2 linked regions of the Arabidopsis thaliana genome follow. The protein of the gene in region 1 purifies or fractionates together with the protein of each later gene. This does not show direct contact. Each region holds a gene or a part of one and is shown on either strand. Other genes may lie near its edges.

Region 1 (5,945 bases):
GAGTAGCTTATGATTTCAACACGAATGGTAAAGTAAATAAAAATGAAACATTTCACGCATAATGTTTCTCTATCGTGACTTTGTCGGCAGGCAAGGACAGTTCTCACATCACTACCAAAAAAAAAAGGACAGTTTTCAGTTCTCACATCCCCAACACAGTTTAAAAGCCAAAATTCAAAATTTCACCCATTTTTCCTTTCAAATACCGATTTTATATAAGAATATTTTTGTATAAACAATTTCCTAATTATTTACGAAGTACAAATCTAAAGCTAAATTACAAACATATAGTACTACAATAATATAAAAATTAAAATAATAAAAATGAAAGCGGCAATCAAGGATCCGATATAAATTCCAACAGCAAAGTAGTCAGTCAGGTGGTGCTGGGCACATGTGACATTGGCCCTACTTGGCTTTGCTTCATCCAAAACTATGCATTTCATGCTGGACCGGATTCAATTATGTTTCTTTTTCTTACTTTATACCGATTTCACACTCACAGTCTCTCACACACAAGTCTCGTGCATGAACCAGAATAATTGAGAACAAAAAAATAATATACATATAGTTTATTTGGAGTTTCTGATATATCAAAAATATAAAACTAAAAGACGCTAACATAGGCAAAAAGTTGCAGTAATTAAATAAGGAAATACAAAAAAGATAATTTCATATATGAGAAGAAAAAGATAACCAGAAAGAAAAAACACAAAAAATGAAGTAACAATGATAAAGTTTAATAAAAAAAACAATGATAATTATTTAAGAACACTAATAAGAAATATAAGGAGCATAAATATGAGGTTGCTCCATATTTTAATTAATCTATTTATACAACTTTTCCCTGAAAAACGCCTAATTTTCTTCTTTTTAAAATTTTGTTCACCGAAATAAATCTTTCGGAGAATACCCAACCACCAACACGTACATCTCTCTCCAAGAAATGGTCAAACGACGCCGTGTTACATGTTTCTATCAATCGGATAAGTGTTATTGACACGACACGACACCGTTTCGTTTTCGGGTTTTGGCATAAGTGGTGGGCCCCTTTTGAGAACATTCTGAAAAAGAATCAATAGAAGGGAGGCGGCGGAGGAGATGCGTATGATATTCCGGGAATCGGCGGTAGTGGCCCTTCGTAGATTGGAGGTGGTGGTGGTTGGCTGTGGTGTATTACCGGTGGAGGTGGTGGGCTGTAGTGGACAGCCGGTGGAGGTGGAGGTGAATTGTAGTAGTAAACTGGTGGTGAAGGCGGAGGACTGTAGTGCGCCGGTGATGGTGGTGGTGGAGGATTATAATGGACTGTTGGAGGTGGAGGTGGTGAGTATTCTATGCACGGTGGATGTGATTGTGGCGGAGGGGAGTGTATTGGCGTTGGTGGAGGTGGTGGGGATATATAGTGATAAGTAGGGGTTGGTGGTGGTAATGAGTAATGTGGCGGCGGCGGTGGTTGTGGTGAGCTGTAGTAGTAAGGGGCTGGTGGTGGTGGGGATGCAAATTGAGGCGGTGACGGCAAGTAAGGTATAGGGGAAGGAGGGGGAGTGCCGTAAATTGGAGATTGCGGGGGTTGTGATGGAGATGGTTGCGGTGGATAGTATGTTTGCGGCGGAGGAGGTGGCGGTGGCGGGAAGGGAGAATATGTCTGAGGCGGTGGTGGAGGTATTGATGGGGAAGGTGAGAAAGTTGGGGGAGGAGGAGGTGGTGGGGATGGAGGAGAGTACCCTGTAAACGGCGGGGGAGGAGGGTACCCTGTAGACGGCGGGGGAGGAGAGTAAACCGGAGTAGGTGTTGACGGCGGAGGAGACGATGGAGTCGGGCCTACAATGGGAGGACTAGGAATAACAGGCGGTAAAGGAGGACTAGGTGACGACGGCGGAGAAGGGCCGGTGAACGGTGGACTAGGAATAATAGGCGGTGAATTTTGACCAGGTGATATCGGAGTTGGCGGAGTTGATGGCGTAGGAGGACTAGGAATAGGAGAGCTCGGAGTTGGACTAGATGGCGAAGGAGGAGAACCAGGAGATGTTGGGGTTGACGGAGGAGACGGGACAGTGATCGGAGGACTAGGAGAAATAGACGGTGAAGGAGGAGAACCACCGGGAGAAGGTGTTGTCGGCGATGATGGAGGAGAACCACCAGGAGTAGGTGTCGTCGGCGATGATGGAGGAGAACCACCAGGAGTTGGTGTCGTCGGCGATGATGGAGGAGAACCACCAGGAGTAGGTGTCGTCGGCGATGTAGGAGGAGAACCAGGAGATGGCGTAGTTGAAGGAGGAGACGGGACAATAGACGGTGAAGGAGGAGAACCACCAGGAGATGGAGTTGTCGGCGGTGACGGGACAGTGATCGGTGGACTAGGAGAAATAGAAGGCGAAGGAGGAGAACCACCCGGAGACGGAGTTGTAGGCGGTGATGGGACAACAACTGGAGGCCGAGTAGAACGACCACATCCAAAGGAACCACAATCCACCGGCGGAAGAGAAGAGAAAGCCGCACATTGCCCTGGTGATCTCTGCGCAGGTCTCGCCGGCAAACAATTCCGCCGATCATCAAACCCAGGCAACCCAAGACAAACCGGCGGCTCTCCAGTGAAGAAATTATAACTGAAAGTGAAATTCTCCAACCTCGGCAACTGACAAATAGTCGCCGGAATCTTACCAGAGAATCTATTATGCGCCACATTTAACTGCTCCATCGAAACCATCCCGCCAATACTCGCCGGTAACGACCCAACAAGTTCGTTAAAACTGAAATCAAATACCGTTACGTTTTTCAACCGTCCGATCTGCGACGGTAAACAAGAATTAAACCCATTTTCCATGAAGATGATCTCTTCAAGATTCCTCATATCACCCAAACTCGTCGGAATACAACCGTGGAAATGATTATTCGCCACAACAATAACGGAAACCGGAGAATCTCCCAAATTATCCGGTAACTCAAACCGGAACCGGTTATGGTTGATAAAAATCGCATCAAGATCTTTGCTGAAGAGCTCTCTTGGTACAGGTCCTTCGAATTCGTTAAACCTTAGATCCAGAAACTTCAACGACGGTAACTGAAGGACAACAGTAGGGAATATTCCGGCGAACCGGTTATTACTGAGATCAAGCTCGAATAAAAGCTTAAGACGGTTAAACCGATGCGGTACGGTTCCACAAAACCGGTTTGAATTAATATGAAACAAAGCGAGATCTGTTAACAAACCAAGCTCTTGAGGTAGATAACCAGCAATGTCAGCGTGGTTTAGATCTATTCCGGCGACGGTACGGATCCGGCGGTTATCTAAAGCCGGAGCACAGTAAACGCCGGTGTAACTGCAAACATCAGAACCGATCCAGTTTGTTGTGAAGTTGTTTGGATCAGAGAGAATAGCTTGTTTCCAAGCTTGAAGAGCTATGTAAGCATTTCGAAGTCGTGGATTCTCGAAGACTAGAGATGGGTCAACGTCGACATTCTCGCCGCGGTCGCCGAACTCGTCGCGGAAGTAGAGAAGTTGACGTTGTGTGATTAGCCGGACTTCATTGTCGGAGAGATCTCCATTGAAAGTAAGTGAAAGAGAGTAAGAGATACTTGTGAAGAAGAAGGTGATAAAAAGAAGAACAAAGATCAGAGACGTGTTCTTCATCATCATCTTCGTCTTCATTACTTCACATAACAAGACATCAGTGGATTTGAAGGAAGAAGAAGGGTAAAATGGGAAATGTAAGTGAGAATCTCTATAAGTGAAGAAGTAATGTGTGAAGAGGGAATTATAAGTGAGAGAGAGACAGGTCTTTGCACAGCTCAGCCCTATTCATATACTCTTCACTTATTATAACACTGTCTGTTTTACACTGTCAAAAGTGTAATGTTAATTAATTGATGTGTGTCCATGAATTACCTAACAATTATATAAATGTATGATCGACTTTTTGGTTTCTTTTTTGAACTAATCACATGATTGATTATATACGTTACAAATTATAATTGTTTAATGATTTTGGTCAACACTAAAGTTTTGATTAGAGACAATTTACATTGCTCTAGGCATTAGGTAGTTAATTTTGTTTAGCATCATTTCAACTATTAATTATTACTTGCTGATATTGGAAACCTTTTGTGATTAGCCATACATTTGGATTAAATTTTGGTAAAGACTTGTTAATAATTTTGTTTGCATCATGAACTATTCCAATACAACGATTAGTTGCATTGGAAAACATTTATATCTACTAATAATTTTTTGATCAAAGTTTGGTAAATACTACTTGTTACTAATAGGCCATCACACGGTTTTTAATATAAGCATATCCATAATGATGCTTGTGTACAATTTGAATCAGAATATCTAACCGAAGCCAAAAAAAAAGAGCTCCATTGTTAAAAGTTCTCATTTAAAAGAAATTTGAATCTAAATGAACTCAATTATCGTTATCTCTCGCTTGACATGGATTATCAATGTTGTTAAAGCCCATAAAATGAAAATGTTGCTGTGCTTTGTATTTTACAGCTATCATGTCAAACAGTAAGTTAAATGAATTAGTTGAAACTCGTAACTCACGTGTATTCATTTTTTTCTTTTGAGGTGTCACTACTCACTAGTCCAAAACATAAATAAAGTTCAACAGTTAACTGTTCTTATGTCGGAATTGTCTTAAAACGACATGACCCACAGTAATAATATACCTTTATATTTCTCTATATATATTGGATCGACAGAATATGAAATAATGTTTATATTTACCCTTGATGTTATTGCGATTGTCTATAATATAAATTTAAATGCTAAGTTTTTTTTGTATATATGGAATAATGGTTTGCTTCAGTCTTTGTAATTTATAAATTTATAAATTGTGCCAAATGTTTGGCAAAAAACATAAATAATGTGCCAAGTATATTATTTTATGGCGAGTGATTCAATTCATTTTTTATATTTTGTTCCATCCTCTTCTTATACCTTTGCTTGCAAATATGAAAATATGAACTATAATGTGTTATCAATCAGATGTTCCAGTTCATGTAGAGTTGTAGACGCATATAAATTTGGTTTTCTTGATTCATAAATGATTTACGATAAATCATAACAAGTTAAAGTGTTTACATTTATAGATTGGATACTAGTAAGCTGATAAGCTGAGGTTTGAGACACTTAGGAAGATCGTGGGTGTTGTTACGCCGGTTCAAGCGGCATAGTATTTGCTCGCCGAGTAAAGATTAAACTTGTCGTTGCAAGAGTGGGGAAGAGTTAGAGAAAGGCGTGGGTGTGCACGTGGGGAGGATGCAACCGCCGCAAGAGGCGGAGCCGGGAAGTCAAACTTAACCACTTGTTGATGTGAGTACGTGAGTTTGAGGTACGTATAGTAGATAATCTTTTTGTAATATTGTCTAAGTAGAGAAGAGATCATGTTAGGTGTCTTAATGTGTATACGAGAGTGAGACGTAGTAGTAGAGTACCACTACCGACATGATGCATGCCTAAGCTTTTGCTGTTGTCGTCTTATACACATAAGGAATAACAAAAGCTCCAACAAGTCTAGCGACGCTTACTCTTTGTCTATGAATACAGACAAGTTTTTTTCTTATACCATGATTTGTTTTTGTTTATTTGAGTTATTTTTTTCACTGTCGAGTTACTAAAATACTACTAGTTTATACGTTTCATATGAAATTTATGGGTTTTTTTTTTTGCACGACTTAGATATTATTTTTTACCAACTTAAATTTATGGGTTTTTCTTGCCAACATAATTTGTTTTGTTTTATTTTGATTGTTTTTCTGTAAAATTTTAGATGTACTTGTATGATTCAGAAAAGAAGATATTATTTCATTTTTCAAAGTGAAGTATGTCCAAAATAATTTTGTCAGGCACTAGTATTATTCATCTGCGTTTTGTCCGTTTACATATAAACTCAAATATCTACAAACCAAGAGCGATAACATCCAATTTAATAAAGGTTAAA
Region 2 (5,820 bases), on another chromosome or scaffold:
TTAAAATTGATCCAAACTAATTTTGGATAACAAATTCATTAAAATAATAATATATATTTCTTTTTTTCTTCAAAATATTTTAAAAACTAAAGTTATTTTTTGGTAAGAATTTATATTTGATAGTTATATATACATATGTTCTAGTGATAATGAATTTTTTCTGATGAATGTCCAAAGATAAAAATCATCGGGTTTAGACTATTTTATGTAGTGAAGAGATCGTTGCTCTTTGTGATATTGACGGTGATGGAAAGATAACGGCCAAAGAGTTCCATTTGAAGATGACCCGGATTGGGAATACTTATAGGAGTTCTGATACATATAATGATGGTTATTGAGTTTGAGGAATTTAAGGCTAATATTGTTTAGTTACTTATTAAAAGGTAATATACTTGTTCACCAAGTAGTGTCTTGCTTATATTCATTGTTTAGAGGTTTCTCAACTTGCTATCAATGATACATTCGGCCCAAATTTTTGTGTTGTGGTGGACCTGGTTGCATTTGTTGACTTTAGTCAGCTTGGGCATTTATCCATTTGTGGACATCATTGTTACATTGTAGACCTATGAGATTGATAATATTTATGGTTAAACATTATTATATCGTTTTTCAATTTCCAGATGCGCCAAACCATCCCAAAAGGTAGAAGTCGGATATATGTAACAGAATGATTTGGAGTTATTGAGATTTGGACTTAAGATCATTCGTTAGGCTGAATAGAGCAGTCCATAGAATCCCTGAACATCTCCAATTAGCGTAATCTCAAGTGAAGAATAGAGACTTGGCCCTTTAGATGTCATGCTTATTCTGCACAAACTCAAATAATTCGTTTGTTTTCTTCCAAATTGCTCTAGTAAACTCAAATATTTGTTTCCTCCTCCAATTTTTGTTATCTCTAGGATTCTATGAATATGCGTTTTATTCAAATATTATTAAGAATGTCTCATAGTTAACCTTTTGAGTTGAACACTTATAATAATTGGCACACACATATATATATATATATATATATATATACTGTAACCAGTAGTTTTTGTTTTGCAACTTTGCAAAAACACAAATAATCATCGGCGAATAAGAAATGATTAACCGTAGGAACAGACTGAGCGATGCGTATGCTCTCGATGCCACCATTTGTTTCAACTTTGATGATCAGTTGACTTAAAATCTCTGCACATAGAATAAAAATATATGAAGACAAATCATCGCTTTTGTCGAATTCTCCATGAAAGCTTCCAATTTTCATAGGAAGTGCCATTTACGAGGACATAGTATGAGATGGTGTTAATGTTCATCATAATCCAAATAAATGTTAAAACATTAAGAATATGAAAAAATGATTTGTTATAAATGTAGATAATGAAATTATAAATCTTATTCTAGAAAAATTTTAAATATAAAAAATGAAAACTTTTTTGAAAACTTTCAAAATTAGATAAGAAAATTGTTTATATATAATTTATTATGGTACATGAATAGAGAATTAGAATAACAAAACAAAAAGTTGAAAGAAACACAAAATGAAAAGGCTATACAAGAGAATTTAAATCAGCCATGACGAGAGAGTAACCCAATTAGACTATGGTGATTTAAATCTAAACTTTTTATTTTAGAAAGTTTATATTAAAGAATATAAATTTGAATGTTTGTGGTGTGAAAAAATTCAACTTACCTTTATTGGTTATGTATATATGGATTGAAAAATGAATAAGGAGTTCAAATATATTTTCTGAGCTTAATTTTTTTAAATCATATTAGTGTCATTTTGCGTAGTTTAACAAAGAATCTCGATGAAAATTTAGCGTTGTAAATTTATTTCGTTAAGCAACTTAACGAAGTGTCTTATTTCAAAAAGTCAATAAAATTAGCTATTAAAAATTTAAAACAAAAAGTGAATTAAAATTTGAGTTTTATTTTACCTAAAACAGTATTAACGTGTTTATAATAGCACTTTTTAACTGTTGGAGATTTTCTTTTTCTTTTTTTTGAATTAGAGTGAGATAGTGATCAAGAAAATGAAGAAGGTGTTAGTGCACATCATATAATCCAAGTAAATGTTAAAACATAAAGAATATGAAAAACTGATTGGTTAGAAATATACATTTTTTTTTGTAAACCGATATTAAGTAGAGAATTTAGTATAAAAAATCTTGTTCTAGAAATTTATTAGTATAAAGAAATGAAAGCATGTTTAAAAACTTTCAGAATTAGAAAAAAAATGTTTACATATAGTTTAATATGGTACTTGAATAGAGAAGCAGAAAAACATATAAAAAAAATTGAAAGAAACACAAAACTCAATTTTAATAACAAAAGCAAAAAACGCCACGTCATCGATCCGTGTCGTAAATCAGCACCAAAATACACTTTCAACGGTCAGATTTTAACTATCTCATCTGTCGTCATTTTCGATCTCTCTCTTACACTACTACACACACTCTCTCTCCTCCAACCTAACTATTTTTTATTTTTTATCTTCTCCTTCCACAAAACTTTTTTAATTTTATCTGAAAAATTAAAACAACCGAAACAAAAAAAAAAAACTAAAAATCAAAAATCTCATCACCTTCCTTGCTCTGTATTTTTTCTCTCTCACTAAATCCTCCATGGATCCTTCTCTCTCTGCAACCAATGATCCTCATCATCCTCCTCCTCCTCAGTTCACATCTTTCCCTCCTTTCACCAACACCAACCCCTTCGCCTCTCCAAACCACCCCTTCTTCACCGGACCCACCGCCGTCGCGCCGCCAAACAACATCCATCTCTATCAAGCAGCTCCTCCGCAGCAGCCACAAACATCTCCAGTTCCTCCTCATCCATCTATTTCCCACCCTCCTTACTCTGACGTAAGCTCTTCTTAGCTCATTCTTACATTTTGACTTTAAAGTTAGGGTTTTTAATTTCCACTCACTTTTTTTTTTCGTTGATTAGATGATTTGCACGGCGATTGCAGCGTTAAACGAACCAGATGGGTCAAGCAAGCAAGCTATTTCGAGGTACATAGAGAGAATTTACACTGGGATTCCTACTGCTCATGGAGCTTTGTTGACACACCATCTCAAGACTTTGAAGACCAGTGGGATTCTTGTCATGGTTAAGAAATCTTACAAGCTTGCTTCTACTCCTCCTCCTCCTCCTCCTACTAGTGTAGCTCCTAGTCTTGAACCTCCCAGATCTGATTTCATAGTCAACGAGAACCAACCTTTACCTGATCCGGTTTTGGCTTCTTCTACTCCTCAGACTATTAAACGTGGTCGTGGTCGACCTCCAAAAGCTAAACCAGATGTTGTTCAACCTCAACCTCTGACTAATGGAAAACTCACCTGGGAACAGAGTGAATTACCTGTCTCTCGACCAGAGGAGATACAGATACAGCCGCCACAGTTACCGTTACAGCCACAGCAGCCGGTTAAGAGACCGCCGGGTCGTCCTAGAAAAGATGGAACTTCGCCGACGGTGAAGCCAGCTGCTTCTGTTTCCGGTGGTGTGGAGACTGTGAAACGAAGAGGTAGACCTCCGAGTGGAAGAGCTGCTGGGAGGGAGAGAAAGCCTATAGTAGTCTCAGCTCCAGCTTCAGTGTTCCCGTATGTTGCTAATGGTGGTGTTAGACGCCGAGGGAGACCAAAGAGAGTTGACGCTGGTGGTGCTTCCTCTGTTGCTCCACCACCACCACCACCAACTAACGTAGAGAGTGGAGGAGAGGAGGTTGCAGTCAAGAAACGAGGAAGAGGACGGCCTCCTAAGATTGGAGGTGTTATCAGGAAGCCTATGAAGCCGATGAGAAGCTTTGCTCGTACTGGAAAACCCGTAGGAAGACCCAGAAAGGTAAAATATCATTCCTTTTTGTCTCTGCGATTACACAGTGATTATAGAGAACTTGAATATTTCTAGTCAAATAGATAAGAGAATAAAAGTTGGAACTTTTGTCTTGTGAATAAATGTCACTTTCCATTCTCAACATTGTCTCTTTCGAGCGTGTGTGTGGAGACTAGAGAGTATCTAACTAAATAAATTCTAGAGTTTAATTTATATTCGTGTCTCTGCTTTTGGCCTATACTTAATCTGGTTTTGTGGTGTACTATTAATCTAAGATATCTCTTTGTTTGGTAATCAAGAGCAACTTGGTAGGTGGCTCGCTTTAGCAACCAATAATTGTTCAGTTGAAGTGTGAGAATTACATATGAACTTATCTTTTGAGACAGACATCTTATCAAGTTTTGTCTGTTTTAAGCAGAAATTTAGTTAATTCAGTCAAAGTTCAAGAGTTTGTGTATTTCCAAGTCCACTAGAATTTCTTTGTCTATTATATTGATGAGTTAGTTATCTAATTACATTTATATTATTGCCATTTATAAACATAGAATGCGGTGTCAGTGGGAGCTTCTGGACGACAAGATGGTGACTATGGAGAACTGAAGAAGAAGTTTGAGTTGTTTGTAAGTAATCTAATGAACAGAAACACAATATGGTCCGTCCTTGGTTTTGATACTTAATTGCTTATGCTTGGTTTTGATATCTCATTTATGCAGCAAGCGAGAGCTAAGGATATTGTAATTGTGTTGAAATCCGAGATAGGAGGAAGTGGAAATCAAGCAGTGGTTCAAGCCATACAGGACCTGGAAGGGATAGCAGAGACAACAAACGAGCCAAAGCACATGGAAGAAGTGCAGCTGCCAGACGAGGAACACCTTGAAACCGAACCAGAAGCAGAGGGTCAAGGACAGACAGAAGCAGAGGCAATGCAAGAAGCTCTGTTCTAAAGATAAAGCCTTGACATAAAAAGCTAGCAAGTGGTGGGTTTACTTGTTGTGTGTTACATGAAATTTTTAATCTTATAAGGGTGTTTGCAGGAGAAAAACAAAAAGAACAATGTGATGAACTGATGATGATGATTGTGTCTCTAACCAAACAACAAGGAGAGGTAGGGTAATGTCTGTAAAGTGAATTAGGATGTTACCATTGTTCATGCTTCCCATCTCTCTCCATCGTCCATATCTGTGTAGGCAGCTTTGTTCTTTGTTCCCTCGTGTTTTTTTTAGACTGTTGTGTCTCTTATTCTATTTTGTCTCCTTAGGCTTTTTAGGAGTTGTTGTTGATGTTTATCAAAAACGCTTATGTAATTTTTATGACCACTTCTACTTTTTATGATGGTTTCTTCAAGTCTCTTACGTTATGTAGTTAGAAAACCATTAAATAAAAGTTGCTTATGTCAGTTGCTCTGTTTTAATTTGAAATCCGGTTTTAATTTTAAGTGTACTTATTGCAGAAATTAGGTAGAAGGTATAGAACGGTTTTACTCTTCACTCACACACCATTTAACCAAATTTCTAAATTTATTACTCGATAAACACTTTTTTAACAAGTTTTCAATACTTTTCTCCAAAAAAATTTTGAATTTGAAATAAAGTAGTGTATTTTTCGATTTTGGTTTTATAAATCAACTTTTTTTTTTGAAAAAGTTAAAAAGAAATCACCACCACATTTGCATGTTATACTATAATACCAAAAAATTAATATTCGTGATTTATTTTAAAAATCTGTGAATTAAAAAGAAAAATGAAATGTTGATAAATAAAAATAAAAACAAGGAGTAAAGGTGGACCCATATCGGTTGACGCAACTGATTCTGAACCTCTCGGTCGTTCGTTTCTACTCTTTCCAAGCTCTAGCCCATGGTGGTGACCTTCTTCTTCTAACCGCGAAAACCATCTCTATCTCTCTTATCTTTCTTCTCCGCCAAGTTTCTCTTTGTAATTTCTTTCTTCTTCCTCCAGATTCTTCAAGCTTCCTTTACCATCTCGCGAATCCTTCTATTAAGTT

The links.
Region 2: the proteins of AT4G18670 (region 1) and HON5 fractionate together in Arabidopsis thaliana (co-fractionation; one large-scale study listed by BioGRID). This does not show direct contact.

The regions. Positions count from the first base shown.
Region 1 is NC_003075.7:10,274,843-10,280,787, forward strand, and holds AT4G18670 (Leucine-rich repeat (LRR) family protein), read right to left. Parts: upstream 3,953-5,945; 5' UTR 3,650-3,952; coding exon 1,076-3,649; 3' UTR 620-1,075; downstream 1-619. UniProt on the Arabidopsis thaliana protein: Modulates cell morphogenesis by regulating cell wall formation and assembly, and/or growth polarization.
Region 2 is NC_003070.9:17,973,088-17,978,907, reverse strand, and holds HON5 (high mobility group A5), read left to right. Parts: upstream 1-2,244; 5' UTR 2,245-2,606; coding exon 2,607-2,846; intron 2,847-2,931; coding exon 2,932-3,825; intron 3,826-4,361; coding exon 4,362-4,436; intron 4,437-4,529; coding exon 4,530-4,760; 3' UTR 4,761-5,266; downstream 5,267-5,820.